Mytilus edulis: one gene and its partner. The protein of the gene in region 1 binds, or shares a complex with, the protein of each later gene. Links are inferred from orthologs where the notes say so. Each region holds a gene or a part of one and is shown on either strand. Other genes may lie near its edges.

Region 1 (7,520 bases):
CATATACCAACAGGGCTGCCAGTTTGCCAGTTATTGAGAAGAAGTTTCAAGCTTATTTTAACTTTACAAGAAAAGCCAGAAAAGAAGATACCTTGGTGAAAATAAAAAGAATTTAAGTTAAAAAAATAACACTAAAGCTACAAAACAAGTCTAAAAATACACATGTATACATAATGGATAAATGTTACTTACGAGGCATCGTGTAACAATTCTCCTAATTCTAGTTCTCCTGCTGCTTCAATAAATTCTGAAGTGACATCTCTCCAATGGTAAACTGCTTTATTATCTGGTTGTATTGTCATTTCTTGTTTATTTCTTAAAGTATAAAAGTTAATGTTTATACATGCAAATAAAACATGTGATATGTCATGTAAGTAAAAGGTCTGTTGTCTTTTGTAGTGTAGCTACAGTACGGGTAGGGACTTATTTTTATGGATGTCTTAATCCGTCTAGTCGGATATGAATAATCGGACATTTTTATGGTAGGTAGTATGGTCATTAATCAACAGATCCAGGTGTGAATGGTCCTTTCATCTTAATCCGTGTTGCTAGAATTACGGTTCACTGATTTCAGAATCAGGTTACCTGTAATTTTAACCTGTCCTCTCAGTCACTTTATTGATTATATATTAGTTGCACATCGTATTTGACATAAAATATTTTTACAGGTGAAGTACTGGAGAAAACTTTGTTTAATAAAAATAGCCTATTTTTGTTAATTATGGTTTTGATATTTCAACTGTTATTTATTTTCTTTGTTCCTAAAAATAATTTTTATTTTATGTTCCTTTTCGTTTTTGTTTTTTTTATGTATCTTTTTTTTATTTGTTTGCATAAATTTTTTAAATATATATATTTTTACATGTATTCTATTTCTTGAAGCTTACGGTTATTTTTATTTTGCCGATTTATTTTCCACGTAAATCCATTGATTAGCAGAATGCTGTCTCAAGTGCTGCTGCATACGTTTTAGTTTGACGCGGACCCGCCGGTCACATGCAAAATATTTCTATAATTTTTATTTAATATTCAGTCTCACTCTGTGTTGTGTCAGTTCCGAGATAAAAATAATTACAGTGAGCAATACTTGTATATTATTAGTAGCTTGATGATTCTTTGTAGTTTTTACTTTTTACTGTAAACAAATATTGTCCGAAAGTTGGAGATGTATAACTAAAATAGAACGCAAATAATAACACTAGAAGAAAATATTGATTCTTCCCGGCCATAAGTTTATTTTAAGATTTCCGTGTTTGTTCATTATGCTAAATTAATATAATTGATCTGCATTTGGGGGTAGGGGGTAAAAGGGGTCCGGATCTCGAAATCCCGGGCTTAAAAACACGAAGTCGGAAGGTCCCGAATTTAAATAAATTTAAATCCCGACATCGCGAGAAAAAAAATTCCCAGTTCCCGAAGGGTTAATCCCGAAATCCCGAACTTAGTTGCATAATATAATTTACGCACAATCCATGTAAAAAAGGAAACTTGTGAGGAAACTTGTATGTTATATTTTTTATAGCAATCTAAAAGAAAAAATTGCCGTGAAAAGACAATTCCATCATACACATATTAGTGATCAACAGCATGTGCAGGTGGTTGAACTTTAAGTTAAACTTGATTCCACTCACAATAATATTGAATGCTAATAAAAGATACTTTAAAGATCGATTTTGTCCACTGCACGAGATTTTTATATGGCGGGAAATGTCGTAACAGTAAACACAGGTGACCTTACTGACCGTGGGAAAATTCATTCATGATTAAATTTGATGTGGAATGATTGACAGTATTGTGCTTTAGTTTTGAGGCTCTTGATCGATTTACCAGAATAGAAATTTAATCGATTTACATACATGTATAATCAAAACACGATTTAGTCTTCTTTAACTATTTTTTGTTTTATTTTTATTAGTTATTTCCCGGATTCCCATTTAAATAATCTATTTGGAGACCTCCTTTAAACTTCGGAAATAATACAACATCGATCTAAAAAATCATACTGAGTGCGCGAGCTTTAGAATGACTAGAAGTACGACGAAAAAGTAAAGACAGCTGATCATGACTAGTACGACAAGCCTTCAACCCCATTGGGGTATAAATGTGCATTTATTCAATAAACTATATAAGGTTAAACTTTGATTTTCGTGTATCGATTTGATACAACTTGTAAAATATATTTATAACACCGGCCATTTCCATCAGACATGAAAATAGAAAGGCATATTATCTCGAGTGTCAACAATTTTAAATAAAATTAAAAAAAATAGGAATCGAAATATGATGTCGGCGTTATAAATATTGTATTAAAGGAAACCAATTGTTTGACTTTCAAAGAGATTAACGGGAAATATGTCAAAATAGAAAGCACGAGTGATCTGTCTGACCAAAATGTTTCACTTGCGAGAAATGATTGACAGGTGTGTATTGGCACAAAACTATTGAAATAATTGGCAACACAATATATTGTTAAAAATCGTCTTTATTTCATTTTCAAATTATAAAAAAAAAAAAATTATATTTAATTTTAATTTTTATTCTTATATTTAATTTTAATTTTTATTCTTTCTCTTTGAATACAAAACAATATTTTACATTGATCTATCCCCCATAAATACTTATATATCTGTACAGGTAAAATTTAATTCTAATCAAGCTGGTACAGATTGATTTACGACCTTCCACTTGGATATTGCACAGCAGGTGTTTATTACACTGGGACAACTGTCCGACCAGTCTGACATCTAGACGGATTAAGACATCCATAAAAATAAGTCCCTACCCGTACTGTATATATATCATGTATATAGTCACAAGACATGAAGACATGTAGTGTTTTTTCCTGAAAATAAAAAAATAAAAAATTTACATTCTGGTCTCCTTCAATAAAAGTGGGAGGTCAGTAAACAAAAGATTCAGGATTCAGTAATACAGTCAGCATACATCTCTTAAGTAAGAGAAAGGTCATTGAGTCATAATAAGGTAGTGAAGAAAATGATATCAAAATAATAAGAATAAATTACCTTGATAAGGGATTCTGTGGGGGTTGATTATCGGAAAATCTCTATACAGAAATTCTGAAATGGGATTAGGTTTGTGTGTAACTAGTCCGAGATTACTCTGACATCCAACGGCTGTTTTGCCAGACAAGCTGGGTCCGTGAGACGTCAGAGCTCGTCCCATATCAAAAGTGGATATTTGCCCACCCAAAATAGATGCGCTGCTTCGTCGCTTCTGGTGCCGACTGACGGCCTTGGAATTATATAAATCGGGCATCAATCTGTTCATTTTTCATTTATCTTTTAATTTATGTAAGTTTCACCTACCTGCCAACTTTTATTTTTCCATATTTTAACAGTTTTCACAGATTGATGCCCGATTTATATAATTCCAAGGCCGTCAGTCGGCACCAGAAGCGACGAAGCAGCGCATCTATTTTGGGTGGGCAAATATCCACTTTTTGATATTTCCAAATGCACAGGTTGGTATGTACTCAGAGTAGTTTTTGAGTTTACATACATTACAGACATTTTTGTCCATTTGTTATGATGAAATTTTAGCCGGTTTAGGAATTCCTGTTATTCTTTTCATTTTATGGTTTGAGCTCTATATAGGACAGATGAGCATTTCCATGATAAACCATTAGTCGTGCGTGTTATTTGCGTTTATTGCTTACTCATTGCAAGAATTATCTTCATTTAAATTAGGTGAATCAAAATTGTTTTTCTCGTCGATAGTCGACATGTTGATTATGTAAAAGTTGATACAATCTCGGACAGATACAGGGAATCCGTATCTTCTTCTTCTTCTTCTATATGTATATCCTTCCAATAATGGAACACCTCCTCAACGGTATAATCCAGACGGAAGTTAATTAAAACTTATATAGTGGCTATGCACTAAAAGTTTTCCACAACTTGATAACTTTAAAAATTTAGATTTACTGGACACGGATAAAAACTAAAATATTTAAGCCGACTGATAAATAATTTACGCAATTAAAAGGTAAAAATATTTAGGCCTTATCATGGCAATATTTCATTATAAGATTTACTGTACACAACTAAAATCTAAAAATATAGGGTGCTTTATACAATGGAAAGCAGGACATCCCTGTTCTACTGAAAAAATATTACACCAGGGTTTTCGATATCACAAACTAGTCAAAACATTTACTAAATTTTATCATCGGTATAAGGAAATAGTTCGTAAATATAACTCAACATGCAGACATCTTATACGTTCAGGTATTTTACCTCCAATCGTTTATGGTAATATTCTTTGCAAAGCACAAAAATGTCAGTATTCACCTCTAGTTTATGCCTGTAATTTAATGAATGAAAATATTATTTATTCTCAAAAACATAATGCTACATTGATCAAAACTAACCTTTTTTAATTTAATGCAAGTTTTCTGTTCGGAAATCGTTCCGTACCACAACTTTCCAGTATTAAATTAGAAATTATTAGATCCTTTATAAAAGGTATTTAGAAAAAAAGTGCAGGAGACTCATATTCTTTTTAACTTCATTTCATGGTGCTTTTGTTAGTTTAAACATAGTTATTGATAGTTGATTGGGAAACAAGTTATTGCATCTTATATTAATCCCTTTCCACTTTTGTACTTTTGTTGTCGAAGTAAATAAAAATTTCGTGGTGAATCATGGAATTTTTATACGGGACGTATTATGGTACCCCGTTGTCCATTCGTCCATCGTCAGCATGTCGGACAAAAACTCAAAAACGTTGTGACAATTTACATGAAACTTTGGTGAATTGTCTATTGAGTTATCATCCCTTTCAGTTTTTTTTTTAGAAATTATTGATTTTACGTTTCCGAGTTATGGGATTTTATTAAACATTATAAAGTTTCTTAAGAGCCTGTGCCACTCACCTTAGTCTATTTGCTGCAGTGCATGTCAAACAAGGGGCACTCTTCAACATTAAAGACAAGAATAGAATTCATGGCAAAATTATCTGTTTTGGTGATGGTGACTTGTTTGTAGATCTGATTTTACTAAACATTCTTGCTGTTTATAGTTATCTCTATCTATAATGAACTTGGTCAAGTAGTTTCAGACGAGACGATTATTGTAAAACACAGGCACTTGTTTCTATCCATTGGAAGACCCACTATCAAGCGCCTGTGTTGTAAAAGTTAAGTTTTTGAAATTGAGAAATTATTTATAGGCGTCATAACGAGTGAGGATAGATCGCTTTTTATCAACTCGAGTTATTTAATTTCAATAGAGCCTTTAATACGGTTAACACTCTCATAGCGTAAATAAAAACTAAAAATTCCGAGAATCGTTGTTCTAGCAATTTGCACATCGTCGTAACCTTTGAAGGTCATCAATGACCTGACGAATAGCCAGTGGAAATGCCGTAATATCGTCTTGTGATGATGTATAAGGTGTCAGACCACCAATTAAAATTCCCTATCTGTTCTACCAAATTTTGCAATTTTCACAGCTTTCTGAATATCTTACCCTAAGTTTAACTTCCTAGACACCATGTACATGTATCATCTTTCTACATGCCAATACCCTTAAAGCCTTCTGAGAAAAAAACTGACCTTCGAAAAGAGGTACTCCTAAAATAACCCTTGGTTTTCTCGAAATCTTCAATTAGTATACCGTGGAGCGCAATCATACTTATAGACAAGTAAATTTTGGCTCAAAATGGTCTAAATATATTTCTATTTCACCAACAGTTTGATTTTTGAAAATTTGTTGGTTAGTTTAAGTAAGCAAGGACATCTAAATCCCTATTTTATGTCAGAGTAGAGCTACTTTTACATAGGTTCTATCTACATAGGAGGGAGTAATTGGAGGTGTGACACCAGCAGATCAAATTAACGCAGATTTCGTATTTTCATATCACACTCTGTGTAGTGATGATACGAGAACTTTCTATCCATGCAAGAAATAGATAATAAAACACAACCATGCATAAGAGAAATGAACTTTGAAAAAGTGACAGGTGTATCATGCGACCATGGCGCAGCTGTTTATTAAAAAAAAAAACGGAGTAAGAAACCCCAGTACTGGACAGCAAAGACGAATCAACATTCTATGTAATAAAACACATTCTGCTAATGGAGGCCTGACCCCCACCCCAACATAAAAAAAAAATGAATGAAAAATAAAAAAAATAAAACACAGACACAATTAATTCGCTCGATTTTTATTCCAATACACAAAAACATTTGAATTAGATTTTATACATAATAAACAATGAAACGAATAGCTCATCAGGAATACAAACATCTGTATGTACGTCTCAATCCAAATTATGTATGCGTACATTATATTGTTGACATCAAGAATATGTACTGTACATGAAAGTTATAAAATATGACTAACAGCAAAATATATACAAATGAACGAATGTTTATAACATGGAAGTGTTAGAACACCATTATCAATGTTACAAATGCATTGCTTCATGCTTGGAAAAGTACTTAACTTGAAACTTTGTTTATTATTTTTAATCATAAATACACTGACAAAAAGCATTTTAAACTATAGGCAATTTGTATAATCACTCGAAAAAAAATGGACACACTCGAAAAAGCCCGGACTGCTCTCGAAAAAACCCAGAACATAAATAAATGAATTTAGTCTCAAAATGTCGTTTTCAATGCAAGAAAAAGAATTTTTGTAAAGTGTCTGTATTTCTTAGGATATATAGATTCCTTGTATGCATTTCCTTCAACATTATCAGTGTTATGTGTATAAAAATGGCTTAATTCTGTATTTTGGAATTAAAGCATTTCAAGGCTTATTTTAACTTTTTTTAACGAAAAATAATGTCGGGTTAGTAAAATCTTTCTATATCAAATACTATTATACATAATATAACTTTGTATATTAAACACAAGCGTCTATATCACGTTTTGTTAGAGATGAAGTCTGTTTGTTTACATTTTTGTTCATATTCACTCGAAAAAAGTGGTCACACTCGAAAAAGCCCGATCAAATCACTCGAAAAACCACGACCCTAGGGTCATTTCAGGGCCTTTAAGCTGACTATACGTATGGGCTTTTCTCATTGTAGATGGCTGTACGGTGACTTATACTTGTGAATTTTTGTGGCATTTGGTCTCTTGTTGAGAGTTGTCTCAATGCTCATTGTTACCGTGAAGAAGGACCCCTATTTCAAAGAGAAATTGGAACTCAGTATTTTAAAACGCTTTGTCTCTTCGTCACATTCCCCGTTTCCATTCCGTCAATATTATCTTATGTGGTATTGTAATGTTAAATATGTTCTATGGAAAAAAACTTCATAAGTGATCAGTTTGATTTATGTCTCATCCAATTTGCGTTTATTCAGATACAATATGTTTAATCTTAACTCGAAATAAATAGGCTGGAATTAAGACACAACTTCATTATGTCTGAGACTACTACGATACACCGTGTACATAAAAGAGATGTATCCTGCTGAACTAACTTTAAATAAAGATAATACTAACAATGAAAACTTGGTGCCCTTCTACTTTCCTATTGTTAATAATT
Region 2 (7,557 bases), on another chromosome or scaffold:
CACCATAGTTTCTTACTTCCTTGTACAATGTAGATAGCATGTTTACTTCAAAAAGGGATTATATGAATTATCTCCCCTTATTCTGGAGAGTTATTTCCCTTTGAAATTCTGTATAGTTATATTTGTTACTTTGTTTAGTCATTTGTGTGTTTAAACCATAGATATTTTATTAGTTGACATGTAAAACATGTTTTAGATGAAGATTTTACACACCAAATGCATTTGTTACAGTATAATACATGCTAACATGTCAATTCCTAGATGTGTTTCATGCAATATTTAAATAAATTTGTTGTCAACAATTTAAATTATTTTCTTCTGCCTTCTACCATGGATTCATGTTTATTATGAGTAATAGGATAACTTTTTATGAGATTCTTGCTTCATCAATTGTTTAAGGTTTTGAAGTCTTTTCAGGTACTATAAGCAATTGGTCATCTAGATTAGGTGCATGGAATCATTGCAAGAAGTAAATGACAGGGTTTATATGATCATGACTTCATTTTTATGGTTCCTAGTTTAGTTTTCATAGCTAGTACTCTGAGATACTACATGTAACTAAACAATAAGTCAACTCAATTCGGTGTATGGAATGATTGTGTACCTGTTTCTCAAGGTTAATCTGACGTTGACCTCATTTTCATAGTTCATTGTTCAAGTTTTCATGGTTGGTATATAATAGAAGATGTGGTATGATTGTCAATGAGACAACTATCCGCAAGAGACCAAATGACACAGAAATTAACAGTTACAGGTCACTGTAAAGCCTTCAACAATGAGCAAAGTAAATCCCAAGCCACATAGTCGGCTACAAAATGCCCCAAAAACTTAGGTCTGCTGATCTAATAAGCAATTGATTAGAAAATTTGGTGTATGAAATGATTATAAGGTGAATATGTCTGTCTGAAAGGTGTCATCAGACCTGAACCTCATTTACTAATATCATTGATTAGGTTAAATTTATATATTTCTAATAACTTTGATCTTAAGAAGTTAAGAGACTTTAATCATAAATTTAAATCATGACTAGTAAATAGATGAGTTATATCAGTGAGGCACTTTTGTTACGCTAGATGTTGATGCAGTTAAAATTAAATAAAATACAAATAATAGTTTTATTTACATGAATAAAGTATATTACAAATCTCTAAACTTCATATAATCTTTTCTCTTTTCACAGGCAGTCCTTATATTTATCATAATTACATGTAGCACTCAAATCTTGTCATATTCTTCAATTCTTTGATAAAGAGCAGATATTCATTTTTATAAATTTTGAAATTTTTTCAATTTTATAACAATCTGTTTGCTAATATTCTCCATAGAGGGAATTTTACCAAAAGTGTAAAAATTTCACAGGATTCAAAGAACTCCTTTGTTTTCACAAAAGGTAAAGAACCTTATGAAAAGTATAATAATTCAACAAATTTCTGTATACAAAGTTATGCCTCGGTTAAATCATCATTGAAATACAAATGGATTGCTTGTAAGAATGTATCATCGTTCATGCTCAGTTTATAAAATTCCTCATCTTCATCTTCGATACCATTTTCTTCTAACGTACTCCCCATCACAAGATTTCGACTGTCATATTTCCATGTATAACTTGCAGCATGTGCATTGTATTTCAGGTACCTTTCTAAAATTTCTGTCATAATCTCTTCCGAGCAAACCTGAAAAAAACCACATTGATATTATTAAGGAAAAAGGAAAAATACCCAGGAATGTTTAAAAATCAATTGTAGAGAGAAACTGACAGAGCCACATGTGGCAAATACAAAAGACAGTGAAAAGACAAAAAATTCAATGTAAAATTCATAGAAAACTGAAGACTGAGCAACATAAATTCTGACAAAAACAGGGGATAATAACAACCGAAACAAAACACTAGACTAAAGAAAGAAAAAACTAATTACATTACCCCCCCCCCCCCTAGAAATACAGATGAACTAGGGTGCACCAGAAAGTTTGGCAGTTACTGATCTAATAATGACACTATCATATAGAACTCCTAATGTGATCTGAGCATGAGTGACAAAAATACAATTAACTGTTTTACATCTCCTTTTATAGAAAAGGAAATAAAACCTTTCATCAGAATCAATTCATGTTCATCGGGCTATTCAAATTATAGCAAAGAGAAATATATATATACCATTGAATAAATAAAATAGCTACAGCATAGTTCTCTCACTTCTCTGTTCATGTGGAGTTCAAAGAGTGAGTCATCAGGAACTTTAAACTCTTTAAAAAAATCATTTTTATTTCATTTGGCTGTACAAAAACTAGTAGTTTTTGAAAAAAATATATAAAATACAAAATAAGATTAACCTTTACCTCAATAACATGGTCCTGTGATGTGAGTGTGTTGATTATTTTGACTTTTCTTGTTTTCTGTGACAGAATTCCTACAAGATAACTGTCATCTTTCCACCAAGGCCTTCCAAAGTCATTGGCCCAAAAAGAATCTGGATAAGGTGGTGGTATATGTACAAATCTGCCATTAGGACAGTATGGTATTTCACACCCTGTTTGTGGATCTACATGTGTACGGATCTGAAATGTATACATTGGTTTCAATGAAGTATTGTGGCTTCCTTATTGAATAAAAACCAATATTTCACATGTGACAAAAATTCTGTAAATTTACCCCTCCAGATCTAGACAGGGTCAGTAATTTTGCATCTAAAACAAATATGCATTATGAAAGGATTACTTTGAAATAATTGTATTAACATTTTTCATGTAAGAGACGATAAATTCTAATTTCAAGAAAATCAATATTTTCTGAGAATATGATTTTGAAGTGATTGAAAAGTTTCAACCATTATGTTTTCTATGTTTTATTGGAAATTCAATCCTGGTATCATACATGTATTTTAACATAAATTTGTACATGTATCTGGTGTAAACAAAGAAACTTACATCTTTTGTCTTAGGATTAAACCAATGTGATATATCACCACCAGCTGCTTGAATAATGGGCTTCAGTAAAACATCTCCTGTTAAAATATTAGATAGAATGATGAAAAGGTCAGAATAGGATTATATTAAGAAAGAAGTTCAATACAAATCATGATGGTCATTAAAAAGTTACCAATATTACACGGCACTAGCTAAATGTACATTTAATTTAGGTAAAGAAAATATAAACAAGTAATATGTACAATTACAAAAATATATAAACAATGATAAAACAACTAAGCCAGAACTAATATGTAAAAGCTCAAAATGCCCTCCCATGTGCCCAAGTTTAACTTGAATTTAACCCTTCCCCCTTTTTTACAGGATTCAATTGAAGCTCCATCCTAAATTTTTAGTGTTGTATATTGCAAGTTTCGTCTTTTTTTCCTTTTGGTCCTGATTTTGCATCAACAGCGAGATAAATTTGTATGTACACACCACAAATAATTGTATAAACTTCTCATTTTAAATCACAAAAACATACATGTACCATCTGGTTATCATATAAATTTAAAAGGGTACCTTCATGACCAATAAAGGTAAAAAAATTGCCAATTACATTAATAGGCAGCAATATTTGGTGCATGAGCATAAAATGTACATGTACACTTTTTTTTTTATGAAAAAAAAAATTGAGTGATTTAATAGGGTACCTTCATGACCAAAAAAGGTAAAAAAAAAAATGCCAAATTACATTAATAGGCAGCAATACTTGGTGCATGACCATAAAATGTACGCTTATAAGATAAATAAAAAGCTGCTGAACCAACGCCTCTTATGTTTTGTGCTGGTAGAGTTCCCTTATAAGATAAAAAAAAATTGAGTGATTTTGACGTATCACATTAATTTAAAAATAAACAACAACAGTAATGACAATTATTTGAGACGTCTGAGGTAACACGATAACGATATGACACCTCACACTAACCAATTGGAAGCTAACAGTAGGAGTACATGACCATTTGAGTCTGACGTGAAAGGGCATTCCTAATCCTACCCTCATTTATTATATTCATTAAAATGCGATTTTGATTAGTTAGTAAGAGGGAGATAATTAAGAAATGGTTAGCAATACGATTTCTATATTACCTTTGATGTATGAGGCTTCTGGTTTATTTATTTTGTATGTGTTGTTATCATTTTTTTTACAGTGACACTGGTTTATTTCTATACCTTTGTATTTTTCGCAAAGTGGAGTAAGATTGTACACTTTTCCAAGGAATGATACCCATAAATCGTCAACAGTGTTATGAACGGCAACTTCTTTTGGTGTAAAATACTTTGGCCGTCCCATTTTCTCTCAAAATTGATTCAGGAAACTGGGGTTGCTAACGTCAACAAGTAAACCGGAAGTTAAAGGGCTGCTTTTACAAAACGAAAAAAAAAAATTTGCCAAAGCTTTCGGTACACTGAATCATTTGTAGTTTAAAAATCATGCTGAAAATAAAATTCTTTTATAGTATTATAATTTTGATAATTTGTGAAAATTTTAAGTCACATTCTCAGAAAGAAAAACACTTTCGTTTTGTAAAAATCACTATTTTCCAAAATGGCCGGCGAAGTGATGGTAAATTTCGTCCAAATATAATTTAAACGAATCAAGCCATATTTTACAAATAAACCCACAAAAAAATTTCAATTATGTACAAAAAAATGTTCTTCTATCTACAAATTGAAATAGTTTTTCTCATATGTGTGTCTTTTACCACAAATCCGCTGAAAGTAATTAAAGTTACCAGTTCATCTCAGACCATGTCAATTTGCAATTCGTTCCAACTGATTTAGTTTATTTTTAATCAGACTAAATAATTTGTTCCACCTCTACAAAAGACTCATCAGTGATGCTCGAATCAATTTTTTTTTAAAAGGCAAAGATTTAAGAGGGCTTAAAGGGAGGGTATCTGCACAGAAGAATGCGAAATAAAATTACCATCATGATGAACGAACAATGAACAACTGCTGTTGTCTATTCTATGGTTGGGTTGTTGTCTCTTTGACACATTCCCCATTTCCATTCTCAATTTTTATTAAAAATTTCCTGCACATGGATCTGTTAACCGATATCACGAAACACAGTGAATAACAAACCTTTTTCTCGGATGCACGTGAAATAAAAATGACAAAACACGTTGTACGAAAATAACCCTCATTTAACCATATATATTTTGAAATAATATACAATAGTTAAATAAATAAAATTCAGTAAGGTCAAAACCGTTAATTGAATTAAAAAGGAATAGATTATGGGCACATTATATTTGTGTCATTTTTTTTTTACTAAATCCATGCAACAAGGTTTTATTTTATTTGTGCCTCAGAGCTGGAACGAATCATCCAGATACCTTGCCAAGTTCACTTTATATGCCTTAGGCCACAATTAAAAATAGTTTGGTTTGCCCAAACCCTACCCAAGGTTTATAAACCATATAAATATTTTTAAATAAGTTTTTGTATACATTCACAAAAATTAAAGTAATTAGGTTATTTTCATAGTTAACACTGTCCTTGAATCAGAATGATCAGTTGAAACGAACTGACCTGTTCTTGAAAAAAGTTGGAACCTATGACCAAGCAACTTGGGACAAAGTGGTTGGTACAAATCAGAGTTGGAACGAATCATCCAGATACCTTGCCAAGTTCACTTTATATGCCTTAGGCCACAATTAAAAATAGTTTGGTTTGCCCAAACCCTACCCAAGGTTGAGACAGTGGGTAGGTAGGTAGGCGTTTTCTTTTTTTTTTTCAAAAAAAGAAATTGAAGCATCGGGTGTTTATTAGTCTTCATGCCTATCTGATTAAAAAAAAACTTCTTCAAATCAGGACAATAAAAGAATTTGAGTAGGCAGCTTTTTTCTGGGCAGGTAGGGTTTGGGCAAACAAACCTATTCTTTTTTATGGCCTTATAATTATAAACTGTTATATTACATGTACATGAGGGTAGGAATCAGGGATCTCCATGGATGAAAATTGAACGATTGAGGAACTTTCACCATTACAAACCGTGTCTACGCTGTACAGTGTAGCGCGATCGGAAGTATTTTATCCCTCCATACAAGGAATGGTGAACATGCTAATTCATTGCTTATTTAAATTATATTTATTTGAATTTTCATTATAGAATTAGAAGTACTTATATTTTTTGCTGTTTTTAACCATTTAATGCCAAGTCTTCATGGTTCCCCCTTAGTCGAGAATGATAAAAAGCTGTCATGAAGGTCCCCATGTAGATTTTTTGTATTTTTGGTAATTGTTATGGGGGTTAAAAATCATATGATGTGGAGCTTATTTTTCATGGACACTGTCAAATTCAGAACCTGTTACCGGTATGTCTGATTTGCAGCAACAACAAAACGATTCGTACGGGTTATGTAAAAGGTTAAAGAGATTTGTAAAGCAAACTTTGACAAATAAAAGGTTTTTAATGACTTTATCTGGCAAATTGATTCTGTGCAACATGCATCTTTCGAGTCTGAATAGAAACCGGAAACGCGTATGTATCAATTTGATTTTATTGAACCTATATGCTGAGAGTACCATGAGAGTGCGCATGCCGGTCATAGAGGTCACTGCGTAAATAGGTCTAAAGAGGTCAAATCATGGATTTAATCCTCCGTTAAATTCGTAGAAAATATTGGATATAAAAGTTGATTTTTAATGGATATTATGATTTTCGTAATTTAAGGAATACGATCTTTAAATTGATACATAGTTTTGGATTTTATCTATTCTCGATGTGTTTTGATTGTGATGGATAACTTTGTCACGTTGTCGCCAATGTAACTTTAACATAATGGCAACGAAATGAATTCGGAATTACGATACGATATTTCTTTACAGGAAATATTTAAGTTTTTACTTTTAAACTTTAAAAGGAATTCTAAATTATCGTTACAGCAGTACTCAGAGTTATTTGCGATGAAATAATATTTAATGTTTTGCGTCTTATTTTGTACTTCTTAAAAAAGGGGGATGCTGATTGCGTAAGTCAAAATAAAGCACGTGTTCGACTTGTTAAACTTTTTTCTTTGTTACTGGATTATTAATTTATTTATTTAGGCCACACCAATTTAATTCCTTGTTCGACGGACCGCTCGCACCGATTTTTTTTTAAAACAGAATTTTTTTATTTTTTTTAAATTCCCGCTTCCCGCATCCGGAAATGTAATCGTGTCCATTTACCGCACCGTTTTTTTGTTGTAAATATTGTAAACAGATATTTGCACTTGGTTTTATAATCACAATCTAACCTGTATTTATAACGATTTTAAAGATAGAAACACACAAGTTCGCTGTGTCAATGTCTGTGATAATATTTGATTCAGCATGAAACCCTTTTATTCCAAATGGGAGTGCTCAGATATAAATATATAACAGAGGAAAATACCTGTACAGAACAAAACATTGGTTTCTTTCCCCCGTACTTATATTCCCTATCAAAATATGTTCGTTGTTAGTAATAAACTTCAAAGAACTTCAGGAAGAAATGCCTTCAACTGCAATTATATTGTATGCTGGCAATACAAAACTATCCATACCCTCTGCATGTTTATGCACCTGTCCTGATTGATTCAGGGGCCTGTCGTTCAGCAGTTA

The links.
Region 2: N-alpha-acetyltransferase 35, NatC auxiliary subunit-like (region 1) and N-alpha-acetyltransferase 38, NatC auxiliary subunit-like share a complex: the UniProt entries of both Drosophila melanogaster proteins name them as parts of the N-terminal acetyltransferase C (NatC) complex. The link is inferred for Mytilus edulis from reciprocal best matches to the Drosophila melanogaster genes Naa35 and Sbat.

The regions. Positions count from the first base shown.
Region 1 is NC_092347.1:909,818-917,337, reverse strand, and holds the start of N-alpha-acetyltransferase 35, NatC auxiliary subunit-like, read right to left. Parts: upstream 3,110-7,520; 5' UTR 2,822-3,109; coding exon 2,789-2,821; intron 405-2,788; coding exon 193-404; intron 1-192. UniProt on the Drosophila melanogaster protein: Auxillary component of the N-terminal acetyltransferase C (NatC) complex which catalyzes acetylation of N-terminal methionine residues.
Region 2 is NC_092356.1:26,199,867-26,207,423, forward strand, and holds the start of N-alpha-acetyltransferase 38, NatC auxiliary subunit-like, read left to right. Parts: upstream 1-4,448; 5' UTR 4,449-4,513; coding exon 4,514-4,531; intron 4,532-7,557. Other genes in the region: cytochrome b5 domain-containing protein 1-like, read right to left, coding at 1,443-1,673, 2,338-2,556, 2,926-3,002, 4,138-4,258. UniProt on the Drosophila melanogaster protein: Auxiliary component of the N-terminal acetyltransferase C (NatC) complex which catalyzes acetylation of N-terminal methionine residues. May have an accessory function in the survival motor neuron (SMN) complex.